Linked DNA regions of Lepisosteus oculatus. The protein of the gene in region 1 interacts with the protein of each later gene in a biochemical or structural test. Links are inferred from orthologs where the notes say so. Each region holds a gene or a part of one and is shown on either strand. Other genes may lie near its edges.

Region 1 (7,335 bases):
AACAAAATACACAAAGTCTGTGTAAAAATGCTTTAGGAATTGTTCAATATGGTACCAGCTTTTAATTGAGTTACATGTATACTAATTCATTAAAAAAAAGAGAGAGACAGCAAAAGGCCCCTGGTTTTTCTAACCATACAGATCACATTCTAAAACCAAAAGGCTGTTATTCTCCAGTGTCTTGTTTTTTTTTAGCTAATTTTGTTTTAAATGTCCCCGTACCCCCCACCCCACCCCAATGTTTACTGTGCTAGACTGGCATAAGCCCAAACTTCTGATAGGATGTGAGACACACTACAGCAGACATTAGAGTCTATTATTAAACAGCAGTAAATGTTCATTATCTGCCTGAACGTAAAATTGATCCGCAATATCCTCAAATAGGTTTCAATTGTTATCCTAAACTATAAAAAGTAAATCACCTATTCCCAAAATGAAGTCATTATTTAAAGTCATACCCTTGTGCCAAGCTGTGTAAGGGATATAAAACATTTGTGTGGTGCCTGGAATTCATGAGTAACAAGTACTCTGGACTCCAAACAAGGCTGGCGTTAAATCCATAGCCAGTCATTATACAGCTGAGATCTTTGCCACAGTATCACACAATAAAACATTTAACAGCTCAATTCTCCTATACGGTGCGACATTCTCCACTGACTATACCGTTGCTTTTCTCACCTGTTCTTGGTTGTCTTTGGATGTCAACGCACAAAGAAAACGAGCTTTCATGAGGCTGTTTTTTATATACTTCAAAACCAGCTTTACGACATCCAATCGGAACAGCATATCCAATCTGTGAGAACAAGCTTGTGACTTTTATAAATAAAAGTTTTGTGTTGGCATGCCATTCGTTGAAAGACCTGCCGAGATAACTGTGCAAATCGATTAACACACTTTCAGTGCTCTGACAGCATAATTTATTTGAACATGGTGAACTCTACTTAAAAGAAGTGACTTTCAGTGTTGGAGCTATCTTTTTCAGAATAAAGGACAGGAAGGCGATGGTTAATTCAAACCACATTTTAAACGAAGTGGAGTAATTGTTTATTTAAAAAAAACAACTGTGATTAAAATAAATTTACAGCAGTAATTTGTAGAAGCCTATTTTCCCCAAGAACAGTCACATTTAATCCTGGTTCAACAGAGCGGGCTTTTCTCAGTTTTTGACATGGGACTGCAATAAAGACACCTAGAAAAAACGCAGACACAATGGCCCTCCAGGACCAGGACTCGATATGTAAAAGTTAGGATTTCCTCAATATTTGTTTTTTTTTTCTCTGGGCCAACACCGAATCAAACACCCACACCACAAAACACTGTCCTCAAGATGTTACAGTCATTCTGCAGACGGTCGATGAAAACGGGACTTTTTGCTGTACTGTTGCAGCTCCTGTGTAATGAGAAGGGCAGTAAATCTTATTTGCTCCTTACTTTTCAGAAATGTCGGGAGAGAAATATTTAACATATACTTGTCATTTCAACATTGACGAAATAAAGTTACGGGTCATCCCCATGGGCCACGTATAAATACACTTTATTTACCAATGTACTGCGCATCTCAAAGCAAATCGCCCAAATAAAAAATTAAGAGGGCTGAATACAAAGAACTGAAGTGTTCTTAGCCCACGAGTATCAATCAAACTTTCATTCATTCGTAAACTGTAGTCTGCGATCCGTGCTCAGTAACGTGATTCTAGAGCCGAGAGACAGCAACATGCTGCTGGCTACCTTATTGTAAGTTTTGGCACGTCCTACGATGCGCATAGTTACAGAATTTTTCTACAGATTTCCACAGTTGCTGTGTACAGCCAACATTGTCCTTCGCATGGGTTACCGTTACACGAAAAGGTACCTGCCATTTCTTAATGCATACCACAGACATGAAGGGATTCATGAAATCATACTTTTCCGTTGGTGCACATCACTGTAACGCTTTTGTTAAGACTACAGTCTGGCGGTGCGTGATCATTTCAGTACAGCCAGCAGTACACTGAAAACAGCCCAAATTCCATGTAAAAACTCCCCTTACTTTACGGTTGATAAACGCCTTGTATTCTCAATGTAAAGTGAAGAATTCGAAAAAACTGTACTGTATACATAATAAGATTTCAATTTAATAATCTTATTGAAAATAAGGACACTTTCCAAATGATTAATAGACCTTAAAACGCCTTTTTTTTCTCCATAAGACAACGTCTTAAAGCAACAATGATACACATCAAGGAGGTTATTATACTGTATGTGCACCAAATTGTAACTACCTGGTTGCTGTACAGACGCACAAAAATATTATTGTACCCTGATCCTTACAATCTGGGAGGGACAGCAGATTAAAAACAACCTACCCTCATTCACAAAAAAATACCGATGCACACTTTCAAAACCGCCCACTCAAATCATCCTTAATATGACTGGTTATTACAGATTTCCCCCCTTTTGGTTGCGAGCATTGATTGGCAAAGGTCTGTGTCAATCATTAAATCTGAGCAGTTACGCCCTCTCGATCCACCAGGAACACAACTCGTATTGTCATAGGCCAGACGGACGGCCAATTACGCGAATGAATCGCCAGACCGCCCAAACATGACGCCTATAGGCCGGCGTCTCTGTCCATCTTCCACTATCTGAGGCTCTTACCTGACACAGATTGGTCGATGTTCATTAACGACCGTTAAAATACCACCCATTCTCCCAAACATTCATGTTCGGTAGAACGGTAGCGATTCAGAAAAAAAAAATGTTGAACGTGAGTGCGACCAACTTAAATACGGTACAAAACACAGTTAAGATACTGCATACCTACCCACAGGCACACATTGTTTTGCTTTTTTTAATACAAACTTGTCACTCAGTGCTTGCTGTGAGCAGAGGCACTTGAAGAGGAGAACGCTACTTTGAATCAATGCTCACCTACCTGCCCCGGGAGGCGGTCACTCCAGTCTGAAAAAAGTAATGTATTTAATTCCCGTTGGAGAGTGCGCCAGCGAAGGAGTCACTCACTGACAGATTCCGCCATACTGGATTTTGGCAAGGGGGATCACGTGTCGCGCTCCTGCATTTGAGTGCGAGGCGGAGCTTAATCCCTACAGTGTCTGAAGACATCAGGCAGTGTTGCAGTAGGTGGTGTACTTTATTGTACCAGCGTTATTAATGTGCTCTTTGAGTGTTTATTGCTTATGTCTTGGTTTTCTCAAAATCACACGGTCATTGAAAGCAATTTTCTCAAAATATAAGAACGTCCCTACGTTTTTTCATACCACATTTCAGAGGATTATTTCTCAAAATAATTGGCGTTTGTTAGTTTTAAACGGGTTTCTAGAAACTAACATCTTTTTTGAATACCTGTGTAAAGCGGTTATTAGTTCTGAGCATAAGCTTAATTATGCATGTTTACTGACTTTATATAATAGGTTGCATTTTTACGATACGTTTTTTTTGCTTAAATGTTCTAAGTTTTTAGCAGGGTATAGAAGTAAACACAAATGAAACACTAAAAGAGCAAAGGATAAATACTTGCTACATCATTTAATACTGTAGTGTTTGTATTGTAACGAAATGTTCCAAGAGAAGAAACCAATCAGCCATTCCATCTTGGTTATTTGGGTGCTAGAAGCTTTTAACTCCCTGCATTCATATAGCCTTTTTCATCCTAAAGAGTTGTAAACATAGGAGTGGGATCCTCTTCATTCACCGCTGAAATGCAGTATTCACCCAAGAGATGCTGCTACAATAAATCAATGCTGCTATTCAATACATTTAGTGTCTGTACATCTAGTTCTTGTTGAATCATATTCCAGAATTCCACAATTGTACAGTTTGTTCCAGACTCCCCCCAACACTTCTAGGAAAGTGCTTCCCCAATTTCAATGCTAAATGTACTCCTTCTCAGAAGCACTTGTTTCAAAGTAGTCATCTACTGTAGGTCAGATTTATTTATTCCTACCATATTTACTAATCCTTGACTATGCCATCTACTGATAATCAAGCCCTGGATCTCAGAAAAAGTCTGAATCCTTCCCCCCTACTCCCGCTCTTAAACAAACGAGTTCTGGGATCAACTTTAAACCCAGAATATTATCAACAATCCCAACCCCACCACCACCACCACCACCATCAACATAACCCAGGTAAGTCAAGGAATAACCAGAAAATGACCATAATAGATGCAGAAAGCCAGAACAGAAGCTGTAATATAATTATATATAAAAATGCAAGTTATAATAAAATCTAAAGAGGCACGGGTAATAATGTCACCACACAGAAACCACATTGGACTCAAAGATAAAATACTGTACAAGTCATCTAATATCCCTGAAATTAGACATGTTCCCCTACTTAATCTATGGTGGTGTAGCAAAGATTATAAAAACAAACATAAGGGAGAAGCCCACAATGAAGCCTCTAATCCAGGTTGATTCTCTAACCTGTAATAGGGGCCACCGCCACTATCAATGGCTCAATGTCCCTAAACAGCCACTTGGCTATAAAAAGATTGGGAATAGTTCCGTCAGCCCCATGCCAAAATCAACAGGATCACTTAGACTCACTCCACCTATGTCAGGACAGATACTCTCACAAGATATTTCTGCTTGTTGGTGAACTGTATGTAACCCAACTTAACCTTGACTAATAACAGGCAACAGTTCCAATTAATTTGACCCATGAATTATCCAACTGTCCTTTGTGTTTCAAAGTATACAAAAACATCCTGGCTGAAAGGCAATGAAATATATAAAAAGCAGTCAGAGTAAAAACAAAATCCAGAATTTGCAATTATACCCCAATACTCTAGTTCCATTCACCATCTTAAATCACATTTCTAGTCACCTGCCCTGCTAATTACTCCAGGTTATTATAGCCAACATTCCCTTCTAACAAATCACTATAAATCTCCCAATTTCCCACTCTTTCTCTCAATACCCAAACCGAATCAATCCCTAATCCATTTACTCCAGCCATCTAATGATTGCAATCTGACCCTTGGAAACTTCAGGGACTTCAGTACTGTACTTTACACCCAATTTTCAAAAAAACAACAACATTGAATTCAAATGTATAAGCCCTGCACAAAACAAGGTGCATAAATCCATGACTAAAAAAATAAACAAACAACTACAAAAGTCTTTAGTGGCAATGGAATGGAGCATTTGGATCATGTCCTCTTGTAGTCTTTCTGTTGCACCATCAACCTGTTCAGCAAATTACAATCACCACCCTGCCATTTCAATGCAAGAACATCACCTTAGAGCCTAAGATGTATTTTCTCCAGCCTCTAGGTCACTGTGACCCAAAAGGCCTCTTAACTTAATCAGCCCATTGCCACTGAAACCTCCCTTTGGAACTCTCACTCTGTTTCCTACCAACCTGAAATCTAGACCCACACTGAGACCCTTTTCTTACTGACTGTTCTTCTACACCTCTCAATTAGTCCAGGGGCGTGGCCACCTCCACACAGAGCCTTTCCTATTTCCCTCACTTTCTCTCTCTGAATGATAATTACTCAATTAGTTCAGGTGGGTAGATGTGTCAGCATGCTTAGGCTGTAAAGGAACAAGTAATAGGTTTATTCCATGCTGAAAAAAAGAAGAAAAAACACAATGTTTTGGCCGTGGAGCCTTCTTCAGGTGAAATTATTGATACTCTCAAACCTATTAAAATACTGTATATCTAACATTTTTCAGATTAAACCAACCCTATCTAAATCCATGTGGATTCAGTTTGTTATACTGGACATATTTATTAACAGTCAACATGACCTTCCAATGTAGATTTTATTTTTTCCTAACCTTGCAAAAAGAGATATAAACGTCGCTGGCATAAAGTCTCTGGTTCAGTGTTCAGCCTTTCCTCTGAATGTATGCATCATCTGCATTTTTTCACTGGGAACACGAGTCATTTGAAATATCCCAGTTAAGGGTACCTGTCACATTCTTTATTTCCTGAAAGACTTATGGACCTGGTCATCAGGTCCAGCCAATTAGTTAACTCTACAGAGAGTTAAGATTATTCAAAACCAAATGGAGCCTAAGGGATGCTGAGCTCTCTTCAGTGAAAACATTTGGTCAATATACCAGTACTTGTTGTTCCTTTTTCATTGTCTACAATTAACAGACTTTCAGTAGTGAAAAAAAAAACTCTTTGTGTTAGTTTTAGCTCCCAGTGCATATTCTTCTCCATTTCTCTCAGCTGTTCTGATGTCAGATTTGACAAATGCAAGCCCCTCACTGTATTATGTTTCTATTGGTCCTGGTTTAAATTAAATGTAATTTTAAAGTGAATTTGTTCTCCCTTAATAATTTGTGCTTTGGGGCTTCCAACATGAAGATATCTTCCACAGAGGAATAATAACCTTTTGATAACCTTCATCCATACACAAATGTTCACTTACAGTACATAATGTTCAGACCACTTGTTGTAAGGACATCAGAAATCTACTAATCAATTTTTGTTTGATAAAGGAGACAGACTCTTCTTTTCAAACATGTTTCTGAATGTGGCATAATCAGAGAGAATAGAAGAGGAAACCCATATACAAAACTGAGCAAAGCCCCACCTATCAAACAAGATATTGTATGATCTCTAATACTCCTACATGAGTTATACGAATATATGCAAGTGCCAATACCCATGTAACATGGCTCCAAGTGTAAAGGAGTAACAATAGATCAATATAAGAATTGCAGTGAAGAGCAATTGTGTACCACTTCTTTTCAGATTTGTATTTGTTCACCATTATGATAGATTTGAATTGAGCATTAAAACATATGACCATCCATTCAATTCTGAAACCGTTAACCTGAAATTTACAATCCATCATTTCCACTGTGTCATTTTCAGGTTTGGACCTTTCAACTTACAGAAAGCATCCTTGTTAAACAAAATACTATCATATAATGAGGCATTTAAGTGTAACCATAGAACATGTAAGAATCAGAATTTCACACCATTGTATAAAACAAAAGATGCCTGGCCTCACAATATAACATTTGCATATGTTTTGCTTGGGGGAAGGAAGAAAAATGAAGTGCTCCATTATTTTTGGATGTTGCATTGTGTTCAAGAAACAAGAAAGAAATATTAAGTTTGATATTGTTTGTTAATTTTACTTTTAATCCATGTCCTGGTCATTTTCCCTGAGTAAGAAAAAACAGAATAGAAGAACTGCCCTGGAAGAAAAAACTGAACAACTAATCCTGTTACTATACACGGGTACTATAAAATGTTCCCGTGTAGAATAGTGATAAAAAAACATCGTGCAGTTAAAAAATACAGATGTGCAATTAAAATTATAACAAATGCTGTGTCCACAAGGTAGAGGAAGGACCCTGTGTGTCG
Region 2 (7,504 bases), on another chromosome or scaffold:
TACGGTAGGTTCTAACAGAGGGGATTTCACTTCTGTAACATTCTCAATGCCACTCAGTCCCGTTACAATGCCAGTTAGTGACACTCTAGTTAGTAACAATTGAAAGAGTGGTGTGTCTCTCACCGACGTCACTGAAAACTTGCAGTCACCTGTTAGGTCCCAGGAATCACAGTGAATGCTAAAACAACCCAAACTAAATACTGCAGTATTGCTCCTGGAACACAGGTAACAGCTGACTAGCGACTTGGTCCAGGCTCTTAGCAACAATTTCAAGCTTGATAAGATATTAATTTTAATACTTTTTGTAACATAATTGTATTCAACCAACCACAGTTACCCGCTACACAGCAAGGATCAGACAGAGATCTTTGGCAGATGTGTCCTAGTACAGTAATTAAAGTCAGGAAATATACTGTAAATGTGTGAAAGATATAAGAAGATATACTGTAATATTATCTTCCAAACTTTCTGTTTACATGTACATTTTAGCCAAAGTTCTTGAGATTTGTTTTACTTGTTTTATCAATAGTGAAGCAAAGAAAAGAGTATAGTTCACATTTCTACATTGTGAGTTAATAGAAATAACCACTTATTTCATCATCATGCTCTACAATATGATCTTATATCCTCATCTGTGATTCAGACAAACCTCATGTACTGTAGCATTGAGTGCTGACTAAAGTTTTCAGATACAGTAGATACCCAGCTCTTGGAAGACTGACAGACCTTGCTCAAGGTGGACACATTTAAACCATTGCTTAAGCACTTATTAAGGGAGGTATTAACATGTCACAGGAAAAATGAATAAGCCACTTCACATTGCTGAAGATTTAAGGATCTGGAACAGTCTTTGTTAGTGCTGGGAGTCTGAAGATAGAAGAAGACTGTCACGAAGTGTTTTTCAGGACCCTATGCAGATGGCAGAATCTGGAGGGGAGTGAGACAAACACAGGGAAAACGACTAGGATTGGGGCTGGAAGAAAAACAGGGGGTGTCAACTCTCAGATGTTGGTGACCACCGGGATCTCCAGAGCATTAGTATCTCACCGTCCTTGAAAATAACACTTCCATCACCAAAACATTCTGCAGTAAGTCCAGTCTGTAAGAATAAATATTTACAGTAATTTAACAATATCATGTATTAAACACAAGCAGTATGTCCTCTGGATACTGGTGAGTGTACAGTACCAGCTACCAGGCAGGACTTATATTACATATATGTTCTTTTTAAGAGTTAAAATTGTATTTTTTATAACGAATTGGATGTCACATTAGATTCAGAAGATAAGATAGACATGTGCTGGGCTTTGCATGCAGGTAGCAAAAATATAAACTATAAATACAAAATGGGAACTCCTAAGCTGGAAACAGCTACTTATGAAAAAGGTTAATGTTTATGTTGACACCTTATGTACATTTTCTATATAATGTGTAAAAGCTAGAGATTAAGATACATGAAATAATGAATGCATTCTTTTTTATGCCAGATATTTAACAAATGCAATTGCATAGCTTTGGAGCAGCATCCCTTCTTAAATCACTCAGCATGTATCAATTTGGAGATTTCTTCCTTACTAATGTATTGTCTCATTAGCTTTAAATACTTGGAAGCAGTGAGGCAGAAAATCAAGAAAAACTCTGGTGCTCACAAGAGTAAGTCTCACCGTGTGGGCTGAGGTAAGGCCACAGCCATTCGATGTTGATTGGCTAGGAGGAAACAGGAATTGACAAGAGACTACTGCACAACCTTTGGCTAAGAAAAAAAAAATAAAACTGAAAAATGTCAGAGCTCTGAGAAATTAAATTACAGCAGCAGCTCCCTGTGCCCAGATCACTGTGGTTAAAAGAGGAACAATGGCTTTCTACTTTCTCATCATTCCTCTCAAACTGAGTCATCTGTGGAATTTGGTTACTCAGTTCTGTTCCATTCATGTGTAGGATGATTTTGCCCTCTTCTCCCAATTTCAGGGAACCAAAACGTTTTTCTGAGGTTTTAAAGCATTTACTGGGCAATAACATTACAAGTTCTCAAGCTATCTGTAGACCAAGCCAGACAAAAAATCACCTTTTAAAAGCAGGAGAAATATGAGCCTTCAAAAACCTCATGTGTTAGTGTCACCTTTTACCGACCGCTGGAGAAATAACGACTATACTGTAGGGATGAAAGCTGTACTGCACAATCACTTGTATAAATCTATTCTGGAATAGATTTTGCCTGTTTATGAGGGCATCTGTAAATTAAACTTTAAATACAGACTTCAATAGTTAGCATATAAACCATCTGAATTCCTGTCTTTGGTTGCATACAGTAAATGTTTTACAATGCATTGTTGTTTTATATGGACACAAATGTTTGAGAATCTTATGGTGTAGAGTATCGTCATATTAAAGGGGAAAGTTGGTCAATGGTGAGTATGATAATTTAAGGACTTATGCTTTACTTTTGAAGAAAACAACTTGCAACCTGTGCAAAGTATTTAAATACGTCATAAATATATTCACTTTTAGTTGTGGTAAGGAAGCATGAAGATTTGATTTCATCAAGTTGCAGAGTAGAAGAATCTTTGTAAAGATGCCATTGTCTATTCACTCAATGGTACGTAATCCTCTCCTCCTGCTCATGCTGTGTACTGTATAAACAAATGTCCCAGAATAAATTTAAAACCTTTGAGATGTGAGCAAATCATGTAAAACAACAATCAAAGTTTACCTATTGAAGTGAAACAAAATGGGGTGATTTAACATTAAAATAAAACCCACTGTTTAAAATCCATAGAGGACAAAACATAACCCTCTCCTCAGCATAGAAAAGCCACTAGAGGACTCTCTGAGCTTATAAATGCTGGCCAGACACACCCCCACCCCATATTTAGGAAACAGGAAATTGGCAGTTGGTTTATATTGCAAACCTACAAACTATGAATAAGGGAAGTAATTCAAAACCAAATAAAGGTAAGTACACTACAGCAGCTGACTGCAAATACAGCACTGTATATACACACTACAATATACTGTATATATCATAACTTTAACAATAATGTAACCCACATTCAGCTATAAATACAATTGTTACTAAGTTACACAATGCAGTAAACTCATATCCTAAATATGGATCACTACTATGCGTTCTGTAAAATACCACCTAACAGCTACAGTAAATGCTTTGTACTGTATATCCACCAGAATACTGCATATTGTCAGGTTATTTTGAGGGCACATACATTCTCTTGTTTACCTCTCCAACAAAATTCTCATACAGTACCTTCATCTTGATTTTTTTTTTCATAAAGGTGCATTGACTTGGTTTTCTGTGTTAAATTCTGGCTAAGCAGGGATTTCTTTTTTGCCTAGCCTGCATGGTGCCTGTGTTTTTGAGACACAGTCACAAAAGGTTGGGCAACTGCTGACAGACATACATTTATCTACAATATCACTTAACTACAAAACAAGGTGCTTACAGATGGTCTCCCCTCACTGTCCTCCCGTGACATCAGTGAACGGCAGTCCATTGAACCCCACGAATGTTAGATTTCAGATCTGAAGGCAGGTAGTAATTACACAAGACCAGATCTGTAGGGTAAGACTAGTGTTCACAAAACAGTGGCTTGACCAAAATAAAATATGACAAGCACATTGTTGTGAAGCAATAGCATACTGTTGGGCAACACAACACCCCCCCCGTTGATAACTTGCTTTAGTTTTTTCATCAAAATTGTTTTCATAATATCCTGTTAGTTGTTTTGTTTATTATGTAAACAGCTTGATGATAATACCAGAAAATGGTTCAATGCAGATCCTTGTGAGTTACAGGTACCCCTTATTCTTCAAATGCATGAACTTCTGTTATGTCTCAAGAGAGGTGAATCAGTGTCTCTTCATCTGTAGAGTTAGGCATAACAGATAGCTGGATCTGCATTACAAAGTGAAGACCTGGAAGTTTCTATTCATAACAATTTTGAGTGTAGAAACATTGAGGTATTTATTTTTCAGAGATTTCGGAAAAGAAAACGGGATTTTGTGGATGATCACTGAAACATTTCCAAAGAAAAGCCAACCTCCGCGGGTACATCACTGATTCTGTTGCATTCATTTGCCATTACTGCGGTCTCAACTCAGGATGAGGAGGCTCCAATATAATCAATACTGCTCTTATCCCTATCGTCTATTTATTTTCTCCTCTTATCATTTTTACTCAAAATACATAAGGGGCAGAGAATTTTACAGTCGGATGAGAAAAAATAATAGCGAGCAACAATATTCTCTGCTGAAATTTCACCGTCCTTCTGTGCCACTGTCAAATATTAATATATTAATCTGTGCAAGACGAACTCGTTCGGCCCTCGCAGACGGATCTATAACGCTAAGCAAACAACGAGAGTTAAAAGTGGTTTCTCCTCCCAGTTTAACGTAACTCTCGCACTACTTTTTCCGTTTCTCGCGGTAAACGGGAGGATTTATATTCGTCTTTCTGAAATCTGGTTGCGAACATGCAGTATTGTAGAGGCACTGTTATACAGATCTGTGATTGGGGGGGGGCAACAAGACATTGTGGTTAACACAATGTATCGCATTATTTTAAAACTGCACACTCTTTAAAATAACCCAGCAACATATAAGCCAGAAAATTGTTTTTGCAGCGCGCACATGAGTCGTGGTGTTTCTGTGTGGATCGAAACCAATTAGTCCTTTAAAGATTAAAGCTGGTGTACCGCAGGTGTACACCACACAGCGAAATGACCACGCCGTACACAAACATCTGACCCATATTGTTTGCTTTTTGTTGTTGTTGTTGTTGTTGTTGTTGTTGTTATCGAACAATTCAAAATACATTTTCCTTTAAAGGCTAAAGCCGATTCAGAGGTCTTGGCGCTATAAGAAGCAGGGCACTTATTCGCCTACAGAGATAGACGCTTCGGATTTACGATTTACTGTAGACATCTTCTTGCAGAAATAGGAGATTGGTAGTACAGCTAGGGGGAGATCTGGTACAGTATCTAAAATCAGGAAGCACTCCAGAGAAATGTTATTGCACACAGAGGCTGTGTGTCAGCAGAGATCTGCCGCTTTCAACGTTACTAACGCAAGCGAGATTCAGTGATATAAATATACATTTGAGACGCAGTCAGGCGTTTTAGAATCTCCTCCACTGGATTTTTACTTTTTGTTTTTTGGGACAAGAAACCACTGAAGGAAGACTGGAACGGGGAGATCTTAACAAGATACATTTTAGAGGCATTTTTGTTCCTTCTTCATTTAGCCCGTTTCCTTCATCATGGCTACAACAACCTGTACCAGGTTTACTGACGAATACCAGCTTTTCGAGGAGCTTGGGAAGTAAGCAAGTCTCTCATTATTGGAAATAGATGTTAATAAACCTATGTTTATGTCAAGCAGTAAGCTATTGCACAAGTTATTCGGTAAGCTAGAGGGGTAAGACTGCGCGTTTAACAGTGCTTATGGGTCTATTTGAATTCAGTAACCTCCTGGTGAAAATTTGACTTGAATGAAACTAAATTTAAACGATCTGCGTTCCTTTATGCAGTATATAACCTATGTGCTCTAAATAGTGTGCATATACATGGGTGTTTATTTTTGTTGTTACAGTACATATCTGGTGGACTGCTTCGAAGGGTTGGTCGGTGTTGCATTTGTGTTTTAGACATTCGCTAGTGCAATGCGATAAGGAGTTCACTCTAAGCAGACAAAATAACGTTGTTTCAGTGCCCACCTTATATTTAAAACAGAATATCCCATAACACACGCTGTCTTGATTTCTAGTAATTAAGGTGTATAAAAAGCAACAGGCTCTCTATCCGGCTGTATAATAGTGTGATCATGTTCTTAATGATTGGATTACACGCTTTGCCATATCCCCACACTTGGAAGTAACAGAAGGTGACCTGTAGATTTATACTGTAAGTCTTTGTAATTGCTATTATAGTAGCTGTTTGCTTCTGTCTTAATATGGGACGAATTTAAATTAATCGATGTTGTCTTCCGTCCACATACTGTACAGTACATGGAGACCGTTAAAATGGTTAGACATCCTTCCAAACATACTGTAGTTCTTCATTTTGAATTTTAGTTTCAAATTGATATCATCATTGATATCTCGTTTGTAAATGAAATCCACTGTGTTCATCGCCTAGGATTTTGAACGTTGCTTTTATAAATGCGGGTGGAAAAATGTTAAGCTTGTATTTAAATCCCATGGTTTAAATACGGTTTACGCAAACAGCTGGTATGCTTATGCTGGTATAAGAAGCAATTTACATATTAAATAAGTTTAAAGATATATCTGCTGTACTGCCAGTAAAAAAATGTGTGGGGGAGGGTGCAATTAGGTCATTTTCACTTTCTTCTGTTTGCAGAGCTATTTACAGCCTTACGCCTAGACTTAAGTCCAAATGATGATTCATGGTAGTGCCAAGAGACTTTGAGGTCTTTAATATGTTCAGTTTAACTTCAGATGGTTTAGAAACACAAATGTCAAAGCACAAAAATTACCTCTAATGGGATGCAGTTCTTTTAAACCCGCTCTTTCCCAAAGGCCCAGTCTCTGAGGTCTAATTATTAATAGGGCACAGTATTCCGCAGGGATGTTTCATGTCCAAAAGATATTTTCATGATCGTTCATATTATCTTAAATGTGTATTTATATTTAAATATGAAGGTCGATCTTTTTTGCTGTATTTAATTCCTTTATATGTATAAATTGGATGTTACATATACTGTATACTGTAAATATTATGCCAAGTGATGCAGTGCTCTGTGTCTGTTCTCATTTTTATAGGGGTGCCTTCTCAGTTGTGAGGAGATGCGTGAAGATCTCGACTGGACAGGAGTATGCTGCCAAAATTATCAACACTAAAAAGCTCTCTGCCAGGGGTACGTGCCTAGAAGCCTTTCACGTTTGTGTAGGGTACCTATGGAAATGTGAAAGTGTAGTGTGGAATTGAAGAAACTTTGAAATGAAAAGCTCTTCTGCATGAATCCAGCCAGCACTTCTGTGAAATTACTGAAAAAAATCTTAACAGTGAATGTTTCCTTCCAGTAATGTTGGCAAAAAAGTCCCAGCCATTGAATATCAATAGTCTTAATTGTTTTGTATGTCTCGTTAGGAAATCTTTCCACTTGCCAATCCTCATAAAGACAAGCACCACGATACTGATTGGCTGTGTGCAAATAGTAAGATGTTTTCAATGCTTTGTAGGCTCCTCTGAAGTACCGCTTTATGACAATTGTGGAAAAGGGGCTTTTAGTGAATAGTTAGTTACATAGTAGTTCAGGTGGGTAGCTGCGTCACCATGCATAGGCTGCCAAGGAACATGTAATAGGTTTATTCCATGCTGAAAAGAGAAGGAGGAAAACACAACATTTCTGTCCTGGAGCCTTCTTCAAGGTTACATGGTTGTTAAGTAATATATATATATAACTCTTAGGCTAGTTAAGTATTTCTGCTGTACAGGTCACCGAGTTCTTAAATTTATCAAGTAATATTATT
Region 3 (7,253 bases), on another chromosome or scaffold:
CACTGTTTCTGTTCATTTTTCCCTTTAACTTTGGAAACATTATACATTTTTAGAAATGTTTGGATCACATATGGCATCATTACATCATAGTTCAATTCATCTATATTCTAAGTACGCATAAAAAGCTAAGTTAAAGAATTGCATTTACAATATTTTATTATAATTGCGTATGAACTAATCTAGTTACTTCAAATTAATTTGACTTCCCATATTACCTATGAACAGCCGCTACTTGTTACATACAGAACTACTGTAGGTGCATCACAGGGGCTTTAAACAGATGTCCTGGATTGACAGTATATTTTGTGACACAACAGGGTTATGTTCATTTATACATGTTAGACTAGTGTCTGTGTATCTTATGTATGTAATAGTATTGAATTGGAAACTTGTTACAAACGAGTTCTCTGCTTAAGGTGGCACAACCTGGAAAGGGCAGGTAAACATTCTCTCAAACATTGGATTGTATTAGATCCATTGTACAGTATATTAAATACCTTATATCACAGTCTGTATTTGTTATGTAAGCATACAAATGTACAGGAGACCCAGTAGTGGTAGACTTCATTCGAAGAGATGTGCATCTGTTTGAAGGACTTTGAACTTCACCAATAAATGGAAGGTGTGTCAGTAGCAGCAAATCACTGATTAGAAAGTGCCTAATGGGGCCTCTGGGTCTTTGTCACATCATGTTCCTGCTCACACGCAACTTTCTGAGCCTCCATGAATAAACAGCCTCCCTGCAGGTAGAATAGCCCGTGACCAAACAGGCATAATGAGTGGTGTATAGAAAAATGTGCAATTGCTTCTTCCTGCTTTTCGTAAAATATGTCATCAGTTTGCACCTCATGTTATGAGGCTGCACTCCATGTCCTCTGTACAATTTAGATTTATGTAAAAAATGTAGCTCTGTGGCTAAAGATCTGTGCCTGTGGCTAGAAGCAAGGTCCTTAACCCCAGCTGCTCCAGGGGCACCGTATAAATGGCTGACCCTGCGCTCTGACCCCAAGCTTCTCTCCCTGTCTGTGTGTCTCATGGAGAGCAAGTTGGCGTATGCGAAAAGACAAATTCTTAAAACAAGAAATTGTATATGACCAATAACGTGATCTTATCTTATCTTAAAATACCCCAAAACGGTGAAGGAACCTTGCACAGTGCATGTGGGTTTTTTTTCTGTGCTTTTTCAGCATATGAATAACTGTCTGACTTGTACTGACCTCATGAGATATTCAGAATTGTGGGCTTCAACCTGCAAAGATGTTGTCACCTGAGAGCAGGTTGATCTCTGTGATGAAAGCTTCAGGGGTTCAGTCCTGGGTCGCGTCACTAACTGATGGTGACTGAGATTTCCCCTTAGTGTTTGCGCCAGATCTGGCTGAGCACCACAGAAAAAAAAGGGGTGGGATTAGTAAACTGGGGTTCTCTCGGGTCCCAGCAACCCCCCAGATTTCCTGGGTGCTCTGGGGGAGGTGCTGTCATGTAATTGGGGTTCCGTAGCCAGTGAAGAGTGGAAGGCCTTGAAGGCAGAAAGGTAAGAGGAGTCTTCATACACTTCCTCATTCTTCCATGTGAGGTTGCGGGGTTCATAGCCATTAGCTGAATCAGGTAAAGTAAAAATAGGTGATTCTAAAATTCAAACAAAAGACTCCAAATGGTGTTTTACTGCCTAAATCCAAAGGTGCAGTGAAGGCAATGGCACTTTTAATTAAGGTGATTTTTTCAGATTGTAAAATTTGGATATATAGGCTTATAGCTGAGTTAAAACACATATTAGAAAACGTATTAGAAAACATATTAGAAACTTTAGCTGTAGTGTAAACCGTACTCCTCATATAATAAAGTCCAGCTCATTTTGTGAAACTGTGAACCAGATTCCATCATATTTTTAAGGTACCTAGTGTTCACATATTTTAATCCCATTACATGACTGAGCACAACATTCTTAGGAATCAGTCTGGATTTGTCATCTACTGTTTGCACATTCTGTAGGTGTTCATATAATCTCATTTCAATTCTAATATTCATATCTACATTTCCTGTCACTAGGTTTGTACTTTAATTTTATGCTTTCGGAAAATGGGGAGCATATTTGGCACTGAAAAACGTTGAAAATCCTCATCTTAATCTTTCGAAGGCATTTCCACGTCAGTGCTTTAGAAGCGATCATGTAGTCTAAAATTCAAGGGCTCGCCATAGCATTACATCATAATGAGCTATGAGTTTTATTTTCTCTTGATTACAGCCTTGTTCTTCACCTCAGGAGGTGTGTGCCTGTAAGGCGAGTAAACATGGCCTTCCTGTTTAAAATGAAAACAATAGGGAACAAAGCAGAAAAAAGCCATAGAAAAAAAACCCCGTAAACTGATCCCATTCAGAGCTGGCTCTTCAAGAGTGAGGGGAGGTGAGTTTTCCAGGTTAACAACTTCCAGTCTGGATAGGGGGTAAGCCCTTTTGCACACTTTTGGGAGGGGTCTTCAGAACTAAAATTTTACCTAAAAAAATCCCAACAAACACTTAACAGCTCGAGTCAAAACCCTAAGTACCACAAATGTTCCTTTAATGAGGGTGGCAGCTTGTGGTTAATGGCATTTCCATACTGTGAATCATTATTTTAACCACTCAGCTCCTGCCTTTCCTAATATACATTGAGGAGTGGTGTCGATTCCTTCTGCAGGCTTGCAGCATCCGAGATGAGTAAAGTCCTTGACTGTTGTGGTTCTGTTCCTTATCCGCGAAGGAAACTCAGCTGCTCCCAAAGGAGTAATCGGCCGTTAACTTGTTCCTATTAAAAGAAATTAGGCAAAAGGTTATGTCGTTATATATTGTGCAAAATCAAATTCCCAGGGAGCTGGACAATAAAGATTTTGGGATGTGCAGCACTTGCCAGAAGTGTGTTATTGAAAAAATTCCAGTAAGACTTGTGGAATCCCAAGAGTGCTATCTGGTAAAGAATGATATCTTCTCATAGAGATAACATAGGTTTTGAATTTATACCTTAAAATTGATCTTATGTATCTGCAGCCCAATTTATTCTCACCATATGTGTTAAAATAAATACTGGTGTATGTACATTCATGCTTATTCTCAGAATATAATTAGTTTAAATGCCTTTCTGTAGCACTCAACCAAGAGTTGAGTTCACCTCTTGTCATTAAGGTTCTACACAGCTCCTATTCTGACTTCCTTTGTGGTATAACAGACTTCTACAAGTTGTCTTGCGTGCCCTATCATATAATCATTTCAAATATTGGAGTGCCATAGTAACTTATTTGAGTTTATTTGCCCACTTCGTGTTGATATTCTTCATTTTAGCCAAACACGTACAGTACTACTATGTTTGAATCACAGCTTTACCATGACTAAGATTTCATCTTTTGAACATGATGCAATTTTGTTGCACGTGGACCCATAATATGTTTTATGCCACATCTTGACCCACATCTTGTAAAGCTCTGGGTTAGCATTGGGAAAAAATAAAAAATACATTTTGTGCTAACCTGCAGTCTAACCAGGTGGTCTGATTCATGTGGTAGAATTAATGGATTCAAAGAAAATTAATTTTCTAACCTTTTTTCTGTTTTTTAGAGATGATCTTTCGAAATTGCTTATGACTCTATGTCATAAGCTAATTTCAGTACAAACTTTGATCCACTGCTTAATAATGTCATGAAATATCTTACTTTATGTGTTTTTCATCACTGTAAAGCAATTTTTCCTCATAATAAAATAGTAATTGTATTGTTTTTTGGTCTTAAAATTCCAGTATTTTTTAACTTCCAACTGGAACCACGTGCTTCTGTGATAGATTCCCATGACTCTTACCAGGAATAAGCAGTTTTTAGATAATGGGTGGATGTAATTGATCGAAACACATTCACATAAGTTTAATTTCAGATATTCATTAAACATTTCAGAATATATTATTTTCAGGGACACAAAATTGTAAATCTTGTTCAAATAGTGCTTAGTTAACATTCAGACTGTTTTTTATTTTATTTTATATACATAGTAATAGTACCAAAGTTTGCTTTCATATGAAACCACCCAGTTCTACGTAAAACAACTGCAGGATATTGGCAAGACAAAAAAACTCACAACAAAAAACATTATCTGTCCCCCATCAAGAGAAGTGCAACTGAGTGTCTGTAAGTAGGAATGAAGCAACAGGAAGTCATCTGCGTTTACTAATACTCCACACTGAGGCCACATGATTGTTAGCTGTCTGCACTTTTGCTAAGGTTATGTTGTGTCAAAAGCGGAAAATGTGTGTTTTAGTTCCTACTAATTGGGCAAATCCACCAAGGGCATTACCCACTTGCTAAAAGTCAAAAGTTCATCGCAACCACCTCAATGGAAAAATCATAAATTTTGGATGCCAGATGTCACAGCTTTTTAAAACAGTGTATGGTGAGTGCTGACCCTCGTCTTTTTTTATTTTTCATGGAGTGTTAGTGAATTGGTTCCCTAGCATCAGCATCAGCATAAGTTCTGCCAGTCGGCATTTCAAAACATCCAAAATGTGGAGGGAAAAGGAAACTATTATAAACTAGTATAACAAAAGCAAAAAAGAAACTTTTCACACGACTGTAACGGCTCTTGAATTAGCCATGGAAAATATATTTGTGAAGTTTTAGAAATTGTATAAGTTTGCTAAAACCTATAACACCTAAAATTGTCCAATTCTGGTCCAGCAGGGCGGGTGTGTCACAGCCCTCCCTTAGATCAGATCTCATCTCAGGATCAATAAGAAATATCTGTTAGTCGAAAGTGTCTATGTATTGAAATATGAAATATGTCTATTCTTTAACAAGCAAACAAACCTCTCAAGTAGTTTATGTCTGTTGCTATTAAAATATTATTTCAGCTCCTACTGTACGTGGAATACTAACAATTTAAGGGAAGAAATGTCTGATTTGGTAAATGATTCAAATTAGATAAGATATTAATTTGGAAAATGCAATAAGCTCGGGGGGTTTTCCCTCAGCTTCACATTTTGTACCACCCTGCTGATCGAAGAAGGAGGTTATTTCAAAAGCCTACCGTCGCGTTTCAGCGATGACCTAAATCTGAACTAGCCTGGTATACAGAAATGTATCATTTTTCAAAATGTAGAAATTTTGAAAGGTTGCGCGATGAACTAACCTGGGCAAAGAAACGAACTGCTGCCAGGGTCAGGAGTTCACAGCCTCTTCTGTTCAAGAGGCAAAACCCTGCTATTGGTTTTGAGGTTTCTTACTCAGCGCCTCAGTGTGTTCTCTGGGCTTTCCACTGTAGATGAAATGATTGAAAAAGCAGAGGTGTATGTCAGGAAGCTGGACAATTTTTACATGTAAAACCTATTCTGCACCATATGATTTTGAAACAAATGATTTGTGTTCATCTGTGAAGTACAGTATAAATAAACTTTTTCTCACTGAAAGTTATTTTTTTGTAAAGATGTCAAACTGTAAAGATATTCTCAAAGTTGACTCCATTTATCATATCTTTTTTTCTTTACGCATTTGATAATGTTATGTGTCTAGACAGCTTGCAAGAAGTATTCTAGTTCTGATTGCACAATAGTGTACAGTGCAATACAGGGTGTTCTTCATAGTAAGCCCTGCTCATATTTTGGAAGAATCTTGAGAATTGTGTAGGTGTTTCTTAAATATTATTTTATTACTGACATTGTTATCTAGTTCCCTTTAAATATTCATTGTTTCTTCTTGGATTAAAAGAGGTGATAATATGTATGCCATTTGTAGCCAGTTATTTTATTGTATACATCTGACCTTCGCGTATCCATGTGGAAAATCTATACATTGTTTTTTTTTCAGGACAGTCACCAATGATAAGAGGCCATTCTGGTGATGACGATCATTCGGTTCCGTTTTCTTCACAGTCTCACTACTAATACTGGGAACAAACCCCCAAGTATGAAATCCCCCTAAACATTCCCCCCAGAAAGGGATCATTTACAATTGCCACTAAAATTTAACAGTTGTGCTAACTGTCATGCTACCATGGTGCCAGTGTTGAAAATGTAAATGTGATAAATCAACCAGAAACTAAAAAAGATCCCTACCCTTTTATCTTGATATTTCTCTTTCTATGACACTTCAAACATAATTCCAGTTCTTCATGTCTTAGAAACAGGTGGCTGTGATAAGGATATGAGAAAGGTTGTAGTTGGCCCTTTCTGCCCGTTTAGTTGCTAGTAGCTAATTAAACTGAGAATCTCAATCGGGAATTTTTTGGAAAGAAGACTGGGCCTTGGCATCAACAGCAAGGCTCGGGATCTTGTTCCAGACTCCCACAACCCATTTGGAGGTTTGGAGATTTAGATCTGTTGTTAACAGAAGTAGCTGGAGTAAATGGTGACCTCTTGTTTGGAACCCTTCCTGCATTCTTCTTTAAAAATCTTATCTTCCCTTTGGAAAGTGTAAATGAGTCCATTGCATTGTACGCTTTGATTATTACATTCATGTTCTCCAGACATGTTTGTGAAAAAACATTGTCACACAATAAAGGCATCTCCAGGACGGATACGTAATAGCCTTTTCAGTGGCACCTGTCCTAGTTTCCCTGCAAACAATCTGTTTTTGAACTAACTGTTCCAGGATTTCCATCAGACAGGCACTCAGGAGTGTCACACAGCTTTACATAAGACATTTCTTCGGGAAAATAGGCCTATCTCTGTATGGAACAACATTTAAAGTTCTAACAGTCATAAAGTATACGCAAATGTAAAATATCCTTCTTACAGTATCCATTCCCAAACATTTCTGTCAGCCTTGTCTCCTGGCCATGAAGTTAATTCAGACCAGGATTTCTGTGGCATAGCATCAGAAATGTAAATATGATACTATCTCTGAAGATAATGTAGTTTCCACTCAAATCTTAAATATCTATGCATTAGTCAAGGATTAAATTGATTAAATCAAAGCAGACAAGTCGGTGAAATATCTGAAATTATTCAGGTATTTTCTGATGTAGCTTCTTTTTGTTGTAGAAGCTATAATGATTACAATACAACTGACAAGAACATATACTAAATTGTAAAGTTTTCTAATTCCAAGAAGAGAGTTACAGAGTAAGGAGATCCAAACATAAATAAAGGTTGTTGTGAAGACTGGGCTAGCTGCTTGTTTAGTCATATTTCTAGGATGACTTATCCTTTTTCAAGATATTGCTGAATGTGGTCAAACAGGTTGCACCAGTGTTAGCCCTGTTCTGTACAAAGATGGTAGCTCTTGCTTTTGTACTGAAGGCAT

Evidence for each region. The genes of interacting proteins can lie anywhere in the genome.
Region 2: of the proteins of hdac4 (region 1) and camk2d2, one has a biochemical effect on the other in vitro, tested with the Homo sapiens proteins (2 studies listed by BioGRID, with this or other methods). The link is inferred for Lepisosteus oculatus from reciprocal best matches to the Homo sapiens genes HDAC4 and CAMK2D.
Region 3: the proteins of hdac4 (region 1) and pparg form a complex in vitro, tested with the Homo sapiens proteins (2 studies listed by BioGRID). The link is inferred for Lepisosteus oculatus from reciprocal best matches to the Homo sapiens genes HDAC4 and PPARG.

What each region holds. Positions count from the first base shown.
Region 1 is NC_090707.1:21,979,225-21,986,559, forward strand, and holds the start of hdac4 (histone deacetylase 4), read right to left. Parts: upstream 3,009-7,335; 5' UTR 2,911-3,008; intron 1-2,910. UniProt on the Homo sapiens protein: Responsible for the deacetylation of lysine residues on the N-terminal part of the core histones (H2A, H2B, H3 and H4).
Region 2 is NC_090696.1:69,085,312-69,092,815, reverse strand, and holds the start of camk2d2 (calcium/calmodulin-dependent protein kinase type II delta 2 chain), read left to right. Parts: upstream 1-4,481; 5' UTR 4,482-5,272; coding exon 5,273-5,334; intron 5,335-6,793; coding exon 6,794-6,888; intron 6,889-7,504. UniProt on the Homo sapiens protein: Calcium/calmodulin-dependent protein kinase involved in the regulation of Ca(2+) homeostatis and excitation-contraction coupling (ECC) in heart by targeting ion channels, transporters and accessory proteins involved in Ca(2+) influx into the myocyte, Ca(2+) release from the sarcoplasmic reticulum (SR), SR Ca(2+) uptake and Na(+) and K(+) channel transport.
Region 3 is NC_090699.1:62,231,747-62,238,999, forward strand, and holds the start of pparg (peroxisome proliferator-activated receptor gamma), read left to right. Parts: upstream 1-4,230; 5' UTR 4,231-4,407; intron 4,408-5,816; 5' UTR 5,817-5,849; coding exon 5,850-5,913; intron 5,914-7,253. UniProt on the Homo sapiens protein: Nuclear receptor that binds peroxisome proliferators such as hypolipidemic drugs and fatty acids.